3 linked regions of the Coturnix japonica genome follow. The protein of the gene in region 2 purifies or fractionates together with the protein of the main gene of each other region. This does not show direct contact. Links are inferred from orthologs where the notes say so. Each region holds a gene or a part of one and is shown on either strand. Other genes may lie near its edges.

Region 1 (3,500 bases), on a different chromosome or scaffold from region 2:
AGTATCTTTATGGATCCCCAGTAACCTCAATCTACCTACTGTTAAGTTGCACCTGATTAGCTTTAGCATTAATGCTCTTGCTAGAGGAATTTTCCCAGCAAAATAAATTTTCTGCACTGCTGCTCCCCAAAGACATGAAATAACTTTTCAGATAATAGTTGAGTTGGGCTTACCTATCACATCGCCTTGCTCATGAATCATCATTCCTAAGTCTTTAAAAATTTCATTGATGTCCATAATATCAGACTGCAAGGAAACAATCATAACATTACTTGAAAGAGCATAACAAGATATCTGTAAATATATCTAAATATATTACTCATTTTTTTCCTGCATATACACTCTTCACCCTACCAAGAAAAAGAGAACTTTTAATATTTATCTGGAAGAATTTTTTGTACTACCAGACAAAGTTTATTAAAATCAAACTAACTGAAGATGACTGTGCATGAAGCACAATTCATGTCACTTCAAAAATAGGATCTATCACTGCTGAGGGCTCATCTACACACAAGCTTGTCTCAGTTTAAGTGACGAGGCAGGTTCACGCCAGCTTAACTTAATAGATACCAATTTAAACAAAATGAATAGAAGTATATGCACAAGATGCTTTGCACTAGTTTTAGGAAACACTTCAAACACACTTAAAAGTTGTAAGCAACAAAATTTACAGAAGCGGCATCTTTAATATGAAGCCAAGCTACTGAATCAGGATCACACTACCCTACTACTGTTTGGCTGTAATGAATTTATATGTGTCACATTGTCACTATGTGAATGACCTCAACTAATAACTGATAGATACTTAGTTCATTGCATATCCAACATATGGATGGCAAGGGAGAAATTATCACAATAGCATCTTTGTTGTTGATGGAAGACATGTGGATGCCAGGTTGGCTGGAAAAGCTTCCTTTGTCTTCACAGAAGTCTCCTGAGGTCAGTATTTTATCACATGATACTGGTATACTTACAACTCAATGCTAAATGCTTTTATTTTTTTTGACAAACCCTTAATTACAGAAGGTTGAGTACAGCAGTGCATCTCTATTTCCAAAAGAAGTATTCAGGAAAAAAAGGAGAACAAAATATTCTTACAAAATGAAGAAGCTGAACAATTGGGAATAGCTGGGTAGGAAGGTACAGCCTTGCTTCAATTTATTTTTGTAAAAATAAAAAACATAACTGACAACTTTTTCCTTGTTACCTCTGAACATTTTCTTATTTCTCAATGAAATCATCTGGGATTAAACACATCAAAACACGGCTTTCACACCCTAGATTTCTAACGTACATTTAACATATCACATAAAGACAGTATTTGTAGAGTTGAAGAAAAAACTCCCCACAAACAATTGCTAGGCCCCCAGGATTTATGCTAACATGAAGTGATTTGTTTTTCTTTGGAAGCATTAAGAGTATATTCTGAAACCTGCTGTAAAACTGTTTATGCCTACCTCAAGCTGCCTAATGGAAGATTCCCTCTCCTCAATAAGACGGAGATCATCCTCTGTAATTTCTTCATCTTGCACTTGTGCTTGAGGTTGACTGTCAAAGAAAAACAACCAAAACCAGAATTGAAGAGTTTCCATGAGAAATAAATTAGAATATGAAGAATAAAATGACAGCCAAACACATATGCACAAAGTTCATCAGTTAAACCACACATTTTTAGCCTTCCATGTCCAGGATAGGTCTAATGATGCTACCTCTGATACAGGAAGCTGCTGCTGTAGCAATCTGCATATAGCATTGAGCGAGCTCTTTGGAAATTCCAAGTAAGAATGTGAGGACAAAGTTCATCTGAATTATGAGTATAAACAGGCAAAATTAGGCTAACCAGTATCAACAGAATCTGAGACCGAGATGCAGTTTTTCTGAGACTGGAAATAACAGGAGAACCCAGTAAATAATGGATCAATCACAGCTTAACAGTTTTACACTAGTCACAGGTTGGACTGTGCTTATCTAAGCTTGGGTATCCCAGAGCCCAGATATGGACGTGGGTCAGCTAAAGATGATGATTGAGGTGTAGGAAATAAATAAATAAATAAATAAATAAATGCATTTCTTCCCATCTATCCCACTAAAAAGGCTCTTTCTCACAATTTCACTATGAAGGAAAGCCTACAACAAAACAGCAACTCTTCCCTGTAAGCCCTTTTTAAAATTTTTATTTATTTATTTTAAATTCTGAACTAGGTTAAGTTTTAATAAGAAATTCAGCCTACCTGTCCCAGGAGACAAGTGTTCCTTCTTTGTAGCTGTCTTCAGGAGCACCACTCTACATGATCGGTATATGGAGAAAAAAAAATAAGGTAAAAATATCATGGACCAGAAAGGAACACTGTCAGCATTTCTATAATGAGTAAATATTACAAGGCTTATAAGAAGTCAACTTCAAACTGAAACATGACTTAACATGTTTGCTTCTCGATTTTGCTTTCTGTATGCATAAAGTTGAAATACAGGCAAAAACATTCAGCTCACTAAATGCCTGTTAAAATTTACAAGTACAGTGACATGTATTTGGCATAGAGTAAAAAGGCAAAACTGACATGCTAACATCTCAGGCTCCTCAGCACTTCTCCACATCAATAATGCATAGCTACTTGGCAAGCAATTCTTCCTGGTAGAAAAAGTCCCCATATCTAAACGCCCAGAAAAAGTATTTCAAGATCACTAAAAACTACTTTTGTAAGGTTAGTGTACAAACTCAGGGACATTCTGTACCTTCATGTGACAAAGGCAAGGAAAATAAAACAAAACAAAACTGCTTTCAGGAGTTTTCATTACAGTGTATTTCAGCCTTTGCTATAAAAGGAACTGTTAAATTCAGTTGTGCGTGGAAGTAAGCAAAGAAAGCCACCGTGCTCATAATCATATTTTACACATTTTGCAACATTTGGACTCAGATATAAGCTCTTGCTAAAAGCATTACAAATGCCCTTTTGACACCACCACCGCACCATAAACAAAGTATAATAGCACATTTTCTAGTACTTACAGATATCCTTGAGCTGGCCCTTACTCTGGCTACAAAGTCTTTTTCTTTCTCAGCAGCTTGCCTTTGCAGCCTCTGGAAATTTGTGAGCGCTGTGGTGAACTCCCCTACAAGACGATCTTTCTGTATTTTCTTTTGACGCTATGGGAGAAGAAGTTTTACCAAGTCAAATGAGATCAGGCTTTCTAAGACTCATCATTTCCAGTCTACTCAGTACTAATTACTAAGGTATGCTTTTCTTTTTTCTTCCCTAAATAGGTATAACAGAAAATTGCCTACTAAAACATTTGCATGGACAAACCTTCCCATCCCCTGCGATTACATAACTCTGACACAATTTTAGGGATTTAAAGAGGAAACCAACATATTTAGTTCATTTAACAGCTGAAAATGAGAAATGAGCAGGTCATATACAATGTACTACACACTGACACAAGGATACCTGATTACTAAATTTACTTTGTGGTTAAGTGTGAAACATTTTGATGCTGTGAAA
Region 2 (3,978 bases):
GAGAGGGCTTGGGGGTCCCCATGCTGGGTCCTCGCAGTGGGTAGGCGCTATTCTAAGGGGCAAAGGCAGGTGGCCCAGGTGGGGGCACAGGCTGCAGGGTGTAGGGGAGGACAGAGGGACCCGATAGCGCGGGGAGGATGTAGGACTCGGGGCGCAGAGGATGCCCGCAGATTCCCACCCCCAGCACTGACCTTTGCTGGCGGAGCGCAGGGTGTCGCGGCCGGGCACCCCCCCCGTTCCGGAGGGACATTGCGCGGCCCTGAGCCGGGCGATCTCCCGGGCGCTGCTCTCCAGCCGCCGGCCCAGCTCCTCTTTCTCCCTCTCCAACCTGCCCTTCTCCTCCTCCAGCCGCTCCTTGGCCCGCTGCAGCTCTTCGCACCCCCCCGGGGCCGCTCGCTGGGGGCCCCGCGACCACACTCCGCTCACATCAGCGCCCCTCGGCCCCGAGCCCCCCATTCCCCCCACACCTCCCGCTCCCTCCAGGCGGCTCAGACGGGCGGTGAGCGCGGCCAGCTCGTCTCTCAGCTGCGCTACGGCACCGGCCTCGGGGCAGCTGGCCTCGCCGGGACTGGCCACCGTGAAGCTGTAGGTGCATCGCCCGCTGCCGTCGTTCTCTCTCCGCAGCAGAGCGGCGGGGTCCCCGCGGGCGCTGGGGGCGATGCCCCCCGCCAGCAGCAGCAGCGACAGCCAAGCGCCCGGCATGGTCCCTATCGGCACCCCGCTCTGCCGCCGCCTTTATAGGGCCGCGGGAACCTTCCAGACCGCCCGGCCCCCCCGTGCCGCCCGTTGGCAAAGCTCCGGCACCGCGGGGTGGCCCAGGCCAAACTATTCGCGGCCGCGGGCCAGGGCTGCGGCGGGAGGAGATGGACGGGACGGGCAGGAGGGGACCCCATGGGAACACGGGTGTCGTAACGGGGGACTCAGCGCCGCGACAGCCCGCAGCGCAGGGGGGGCTGCCCGCGGTGCTGCCCCAGAGCTGCCTTCCATCAGCTCGGGGCTGTACAGCTGCCAGGTACGGGGGTCCCATAGCACTTATGGGGGGGGGTGGATAAAGCAGGTGGAGCAGCGCCGGGACGTGGAAATTCCCCGCCGCAGACACCGGCTGCTCGTGGGCATCGCAGCCCCCGTCGGGCCGCCCGCCCATATACAGACCCCGCCCATACACAGACCCCGCCCACACACAGACCGCGGTGGATCGGGTGGATCGCTCGGCACTCGTTGGATCGCAGAGCGGCTCGATGGCTCTGCCCGGTTCCGGTGCTGGAGGCCATTTGCCGGCCCGGCCCGCTGCCCGCTGAGGGGCCGTGTCCGTCCTCCCGGTTCCGGTTCCCCGGCAGGGATCATGCCGCCCAAGTTCAAGCGGCACCTGAACGATGACGAGGTGACGGGCTCGGTGAAGAGCGAGCGGGTGAGTGCGGCCGGGCCGGGCCCGCTGTGCTGCAGCTCGGCCTGAGGGGCGGCAGGGCCGGCAAACACCGCTGGGTGCTGTGACAGCACACACAGCTCACAGGGTACAGCAGCACAGCTCCCGTACCTGGGAGGCAGCGCTGATGGTCTCCCATGAGGGCTCAGCACTGCCCTGTGCTCTGAAGGTGCTGGTGGTGTCCTAATGTCTGGGGTGTCATGTGAAGAGGCTGACACTGATGGTGTTTTGCTTTGTTCACAGAGGAACCTTTTGGAGGAGGATTCAGATGAAGAGGAGGACTTTTTCTTGTGAGTTTCTGAGCAGACACGGGGCGTGTGATGTTTGAACCGCCTGGAGCTCTAAGGCTGGGAGTGCTGATACCAAGAGCTGCTCCCTGCCCTATTGTGTACCTTTAGGTCTTTGATTTAAACACATGTTTTCATTGCATCTGCTATTGTAATTCCTGTCCTTTTCTGCTGCAGGAGGGGACCTTCCGGACCGAGGTTTGGACCCAGAAATGACAAGATCAGGCAGTAAGTTCGTGTTCCTCTGTATCGCTCACATAATATTTTATGCTGATGTTACAAGCTCCTGCTGCTCTGTTAGCAGACTATTTTTCTGTAGTTCTGATCAGTGGCTCGTGCTTTGTTTCATCTGATTGTAATTTCACAGCCCGTTAAGGAAAATCAAATTTGTTTCACGTTATCAAGGAGCTGTGCTTTAATAGCAGAAGAGGGGTAGAACTTTATCACAGTGTCATGGTGGAGTTTCCAAAGCCCGTGGTATATTTTAGTGATAATGAGGTAGAGGTGACCTGGAGATGAGCAGTCACTCAGTGGGGTCGAAGCAGCTGGAGAAACAGGAGCCCTGTACAGCTGGAGCAGGATCATTGGCTGTAACAGGGCGAGAAGAGGGAAGGAAGGGACACTGAGTCCTCCAAGTGAGTCATTTCCTGGGTGATGCTTATTCTAGGCTCTGATTAGCCCTGCTCCTTCCAATTAGAGAAGTGATGGTGACACTTAATGGGAAGGACGGGGTGCTCAGAGACCTCTGTGTTGAGTTGTGCTGTTGTATTTGCTGGCATCCACGAGGCAGAACAGAAGTCAGAGACCGATGACTGGACGTTAATCAGGCCGTATTGTTTTGTGTGCAGCCTTGGGGTTACTCTTCATTAGGAATGTTTTCTTCATGCCTTGAATCAGCCAGTGCATCTCTGAAATGAGTCATTGGGAGCTAGTGTCAAAGAGGCTCTTCTAGGTGAGACTTAACTAGGGACAATTCTGACTTTTCCAAGTCCATGGTGAAGTGATTTAATAATGGTATTTTAGGAGTTTGTGGAGTTGAATTGAAATTCCTGACCAAAGGAGGCAAAAGGATCTTTTCAGTCCAGAAAGCGAAGTTATTTAGGTCTAAGCAGGTTGGTTTGGCAGGGTTTGTTAGCGCAAACATGTGAGTAGGGGTTGTTGTGTTGTTGTTGTTTTCTTTATGTGGAAATGGGCAGCTAATAAAATCCATCTTGGCTCCTTCCGTTCATATTCTCTGCCCATAAAGTTCATTCATGGTCACTGGAGAGCAGCGTGACTGAGAGGCTGGTGGTGTCTTTGGGATCTTCTTTGGAATTTCTACACACTATTTAGTTTTCTGACCCTCTTTATTTAGTTTCTGACCTTCCTTGACTTTCTTTGGTCTTCTCTGAGCTGGACTTCAGTAAGGCTTTTGTCATCGTCCCCCATAACAGCCTCATAAACGGGTTGTTGTTGCTGTGGGATGGATGGGTGGACTGTGGGGCTGGGCCAGTTGACCTCCACAGCTCAGCCATTCTCTGGCTTAGTGACTCAGTGACAGCTGTAGGCAGTGCTGAGCTGTGTGCCTGCTCACTGCGTTATCTTGAGAGGCAAAGTGCATTTGAGTTATGCAGGAGGGTGGATTGGCTGCTGTGTCCTGTGTTTTCAGTGGGCCTGTGCTCTCTCTCGGGCATCAAGATGCTGCTGGTAGAGATGTTCAGGTTGTGGCAGGGAGGCAATGTGGATACAGCCTTCGTTGTGTGGTGCTGTACTGGTCTGAAGTGAGTGAGGATGACAGTTGTGAGTGGTGTCAGCTCTGTAAAGTATATGGGAGAGTTAATGCTGGCCTCTATCCTCCTCTGCTGGAGGGAAATTGCAGAGGGTCTTCCCTGTGCATAGCAGAGAGGGGCAGGAGCTCTTCCCTTCCCATGTGTTGGTGAGACAGAAGGGCCATGGGGGCTTGCAGGGAGCTGAAGGAGAGCACTGCAGCTGTGAACAGGAAGAAAAAAGAAAGAATTCACCAAGGAGCTGTTGGGTTTATAGCTGGACACCAGTCATATCATGACATATACAGGGGCGCAAGGCTGCTTGTCTGGTGAAACAGGAGCAATTTGAGTGTTGGGAGAGCTGAGGCTTAGCTGGGCAAAGCCAGAGAGACTGGAGCAGTGTGTTGCTGGAGGGAACAAAGTGTGAAGATGTGTGTAAAATGAAACTGGTAAAATGGGCAAAGGAAAAAGTAACGGGATCACGGGAGCAATGGTGGAGAACATGGTGAATGTAATGGGCGAG
Region 3 (3,721 bases), on a different chromosome or scaffold from region 2:
CTGAGATGCCCCCACCTCCACTGCCAACCCTTAAATGAGGCCTGGGAAGAGGTGGATCCTGGCTCCTCCCCTTCTGGTCACTCAGGCACACTACACGCAGCTGAGCTCCCCTGGGTTGGCCCTGCCCTCCCACCAGGTGTTCAATCACAGGTTCAAACCGTAATTTAGCATTTCCACTACACATAGTAACAAAGCTGCACCTAATTTTTACAGGAATGCTTTCAGCTGTAGACCTGGTTGAAGTCAATCCGCTGCTTGGAGCTTCTCAAGAGGAAGTGAATGCAACTGCTAGTCTTGCAGTTGATGTGATAGCAACGTGCTTTGGACAGACGAGAGAAGGGGCGCACACTGCTTTTGATGAACTCCCAACACCCAGCTCTCCAGATGAATCTGACAGTGAACAGCAAGTGAGGATTTAAGAGCCCGCAATGCTGGGTATGCTAGATGTTAAAGAGCTCTGCTGAGACACTCGAGCAAATAGACTGTCAACACTTGGCAAATACTGTTAACTAACTTCTTGATTTTTAAATAAAAGTAGTTTTTGCACTTGATCAGTGGCTACTGTATTACATATGAAGATTTATTCACTTAGTTAAGTATATACAAATTGAGACAATAAAATATTTATTACCTTCTCTGTAATCTCACTGGTAGTTTGCAAGTCTGTCTGTATTTTCCTTTTGCTTCCTTTCACTGTCTTTCTCGTGTCAGTACAGTTTCAGTGGTGCATGCTGTCTCATGAGATAGTTCAGTTTTAGACAGTCACAGAGGAGACATCCCATCCTGCTCCTCAGCAGTGGAAAACAAAGTCACAAAGGTTCATCTACTGCGAAAGAATTTGTAGTAGACCACACCTCCTAGGATGGCTAGTTCCAGGACGATGATGATCATCAGCAACAACTTATTAGTGGCTATTCTAGAGTTAAAAAATAATAAACACAAATAATCCAAGGCTCTTTTATAAGAAAAAAAAGCTGATTCTTACCTTCAGAAAGTAGATTCCCTGTTTCTGCTAGTACTATTTTAAATAGCACTTAAGAAGGCAACCTTTGGGTGCCCATTTAATTTTTCCTGAAATCCTATATCCCATCTTTTATTTCAAAAACCGCAGTTGTGTTCTTTTCCTCCTGCCCCCATTCCCCAGAAAGGCAGAGCATCCTGCTCTGTGTGTGCCTGTTTATTCAATTAAGCACAAAGGAACACTTAAGTTGAATTGCTGCAGCTTTAAAACCTACACTGTGGTTAATTTTACATCAATTAATACAGTTAAGTTGAGATTTTTAGTCTTAATTCACTGTACTTTTCCTTTGAAAATTATTGCTAAAGGAAATTATGGTAATTATAAAGGAAAAAGCTTGTTAGACCAGAAGTACCCACTGAAAAAGTATTCCATGAACTGGTTTATGAGAATAATTAAACCACACAGTTAAACCATAAATACACTTAAGCAACCAAGGCTTTAGTCATCAGCACAGGGTAGGGTCAAGCTCAGAGTTTCTCAAATAACAGTCCAGCTGTGCTAAGGCATTCCTGTGGGCTCAATGGATTTGTCTCTGTCATCAGACACCTAAATCACTTAATGCTGCAGTGATTTATGCCACAGTGTCTCCCAACCTGAATAAACACTATTCAAAATTTACCTTTAGAAATAGACTGTAATTTAGTCAAAATCCCTCCCATCACTACAATCTATCGTGCCTCATTGTTACAACCCCAGTATTATCTTAATAAAACTGTATACAAATAATTTGCAGCACAAATTCAGTAGTATTCGCTCACCTACACTTCCCCTAATATCTCCCTAGAGTTCCAGTTGACACTTTTGTTACTTTTTTCCATAAACAGTAAGCAACAACAGAACCTTCAGAATACTGCATCCCTCTAAGTCAGGTGCTACTCACCTCCTGGACATGGAACGCAGTATCTTACGACTCTTGCTTAAGTTTTCACTTGTATTCACCAACTAAGAAGAAACAAAAGTTATTTACCAGTTTACAGTTCTGAAGATGCAAATGCAATTCTTAATTGTAACATTTAGACACCAACAAATGCGTTCAACACAAACTATGTGTTCTCAAAATTCAGAGACAACACTGCTCTCCAGGCACAGTACAGAGGGAACAGCTGTCTCCTTACTAAGGCAGAAACAAGACTGTTGGGGATATATTCCTTTAGGTACATGCAAAGATTCCATGCAATTTACAAACACTCTATTGGTAAAGTTGGTGCGAGGCCCTTTTATTAATTGGTTTCTTTAATCGAGTTGTGAATATAATTGCTGTCTGTTATCAGCATGTTCTTCTCTAGTGCATATCTACAACTGTTTGACATGCAATTAAGTTCCCTACAAAGAAAATAAACACGTTGCCCTGACAGGCCTATGTGACCCAACAGATTTGACCACTGAACTGTTAATGGATGATCCATTTCAGCTTGGTAACACTCAGAAATGAACCAAACTGTTGCCTCAGCTAATGTACAAATATTGCAAGGTTAGTGTTGGCTGCTGCCATTCAATTTCATTTCACGAGCACAACACAGTAATGTGGCAGCCTTTGGTATGTTAAAGCATCAACCGGCTCAGCCCATCTGGGGGTCTCCCAGTACAATGACTGGCATACATTTCTAAGCTAACACTGGGCTGTGTGAGCACACTGCCCACAGGATCTCCACTTACTCTGCTCCTGGTGCGTTCCAGTTGCTCTCTCTGCTCCCCAAGTTCTTCAATGATATCAGTACCAATCTGATCTGTTTCAGCAGCAATCCGGTGTGAGCGCTCAATGCTCTGACTGGCTCGGTTCAGACTGTCTGTTCCTTGGAGAAGCAGCACCCTCTGTGACTGCAGATTAGTCTGAGGAAAAATATACATTTAACTATTAAACACCAGGATCTGACGTATTGAAAAAGAAGGGTATGCAGTTAAAGAGTTAAGACATTCAGCTACAAAGAACTGTCTTTGCAGTAATTCATTGTTCTATTGAGCAACATCTGTATGAAAACAATATCTGGGCTCTTCCAGATGCTTTCCTTTTGTTCAGATTTAATGTCAGTCTCATTTGTGACACTACAGCTAGTTGCCAAGGAGATTATTAGGAGTTTACTCAGTCACAGACAAAAAGCATTAGCAGATGGACTGCTAAGTAACAAAGCTCCTCTATTAAAGCCAGTAGCCGCAGACAGAGAGCAAGAAATGTTTGCTGACCTCAGGGTGAACAGGTAACTCAGATTTTCTTAAGCTTCAAAAAGTCTGACCCATCATCCTGCTCTTGGGTTTTAGCAATCAAGAGGAATCAAATGCAAAAATATACCTAGCTACTGTATTATGGAAACTCCCCCAGACATTTCTTAACTAAGGCAGGGAAACAAACAAAAAACCAACACTTTTCCACAAATTTTCTATATAGACACCTCTCTGAAGACAGCAAGCAAATTCATTCTCTCTACCCTGGACATACCTAAATAGATGCAGTAAACCAGTGTATTTCTTGCTCTGCAGCAACACATCCATTACTGCACGAGACAGAGGAAGACAAAACAGTTTCCAGAAAGTATATAAAAAATGAGATTGTTTAAGAGAAGGCTCTATGGAAGAACCTGTACAGTGTATGTAAGTCACATCCCTTTTTGGGGTTAAGATTGAGATCAGTTTACCATTCTTCTCAGCAGGGGAGTGATTTAAATAAAGTATTTCACTATCCTTAACGAGTCTCTTAAAAATATG

The links. Proteins that work in one complex are often made in the same cells at the same time.
Region 1: the proteins of VAMP4 (region 2) and STX7 purify together in Homo sapiens (affinity purification with mass spectrometry; 3 studies listed by BioGRID and IntAct, counting the BioPlex papers as one, with this or other methods). This does not show direct contact. The link is inferred for Coturnix japonica from reciprocal best matches to the Homo sapiens genes VAMP4 and STX7.
Region 3: the proteins of VAMP4 (region 2) and VTI1B purify together in Homo sapiens (affinity purification with mass spectrometry; 4 studies listed by BioGRID and IntAct, counting the BioPlex papers as one, with this or other methods). This does not show direct contact. The link is inferred for Coturnix japonica from reciprocal best matches to the Homo sapiens genes VAMP4 and VTI1B.

The regions. Positions count from the first base shown.
Region 1 is NC_029518.1:51,546,553-51,550,052, reverse strand, and holds part of STX7 (syntaxin-7), read right to left. Parts: intron 3,146-3,500; coding exon 3,008-3,145; intron 2,285-3,007; coding exon 2,232-2,284; intron 1,549-2,231; coding exon 1,458-1,548; intron 247-1,457; coding exon 174-246; intron 1-173. UniProt on the Homo sapiens protein: May be involved in protein trafficking from the plasma membrane to the early endosome (EE) as well as in homotypic fusion of endocytic organelles. Mediates the endocytic trafficking from early endosomes to late endosomes and lysosomes.
Region 2 is NC_029523.1:6,871,458-6,875,435, forward strand, and holds the start of VAMP4 (vesicle-associated membrane protein 4), read left to right. Parts: upstream 1-1,178; 5' UTR 1,179-1,342; coding exon 1,343-1,408; intron 1,409-1,666; coding exon 1,667-1,713; intron 1,714-1,887; coding exon 1,888-1,938; intron 1,939-3,978. Other genes in the region: MYOC (myocilin), read right to left, coding at 192-702. UniProt on the Homo sapiens protein: Involved in the pathway that functions to remove an inhibitor (probably synaptotagmin-4) of calcium-triggered exocytosis during the maturation of secretory granules.
Region 3 is NC_029520.1:27,593,227-27,596,947, reverse strand, and holds the end of VTI1B (vesicle transport through interaction with t-SNAREs homolog 1B), read right to left. Parts: intron 2,852-3,721; coding exon 2,678-2,851; intron 1,964-2,677; coding exon 1,902-1,963; intron 917-1,901; coding exon 820-916; 3' UTR 501-819; downstream 1-500. Other genes in the region: ARG2 (arginase-2, mitochondrial), read left to right, coding at 214-419. UniProt on the Homo sapiens protein: V-SNARE that mediates vesicle transport pathways through interactions with t-SNAREs on the target membrane. These interactions are proposed to mediate aspects of the specificity of vesicle trafficking and to promote fusion of the lipid bilayers.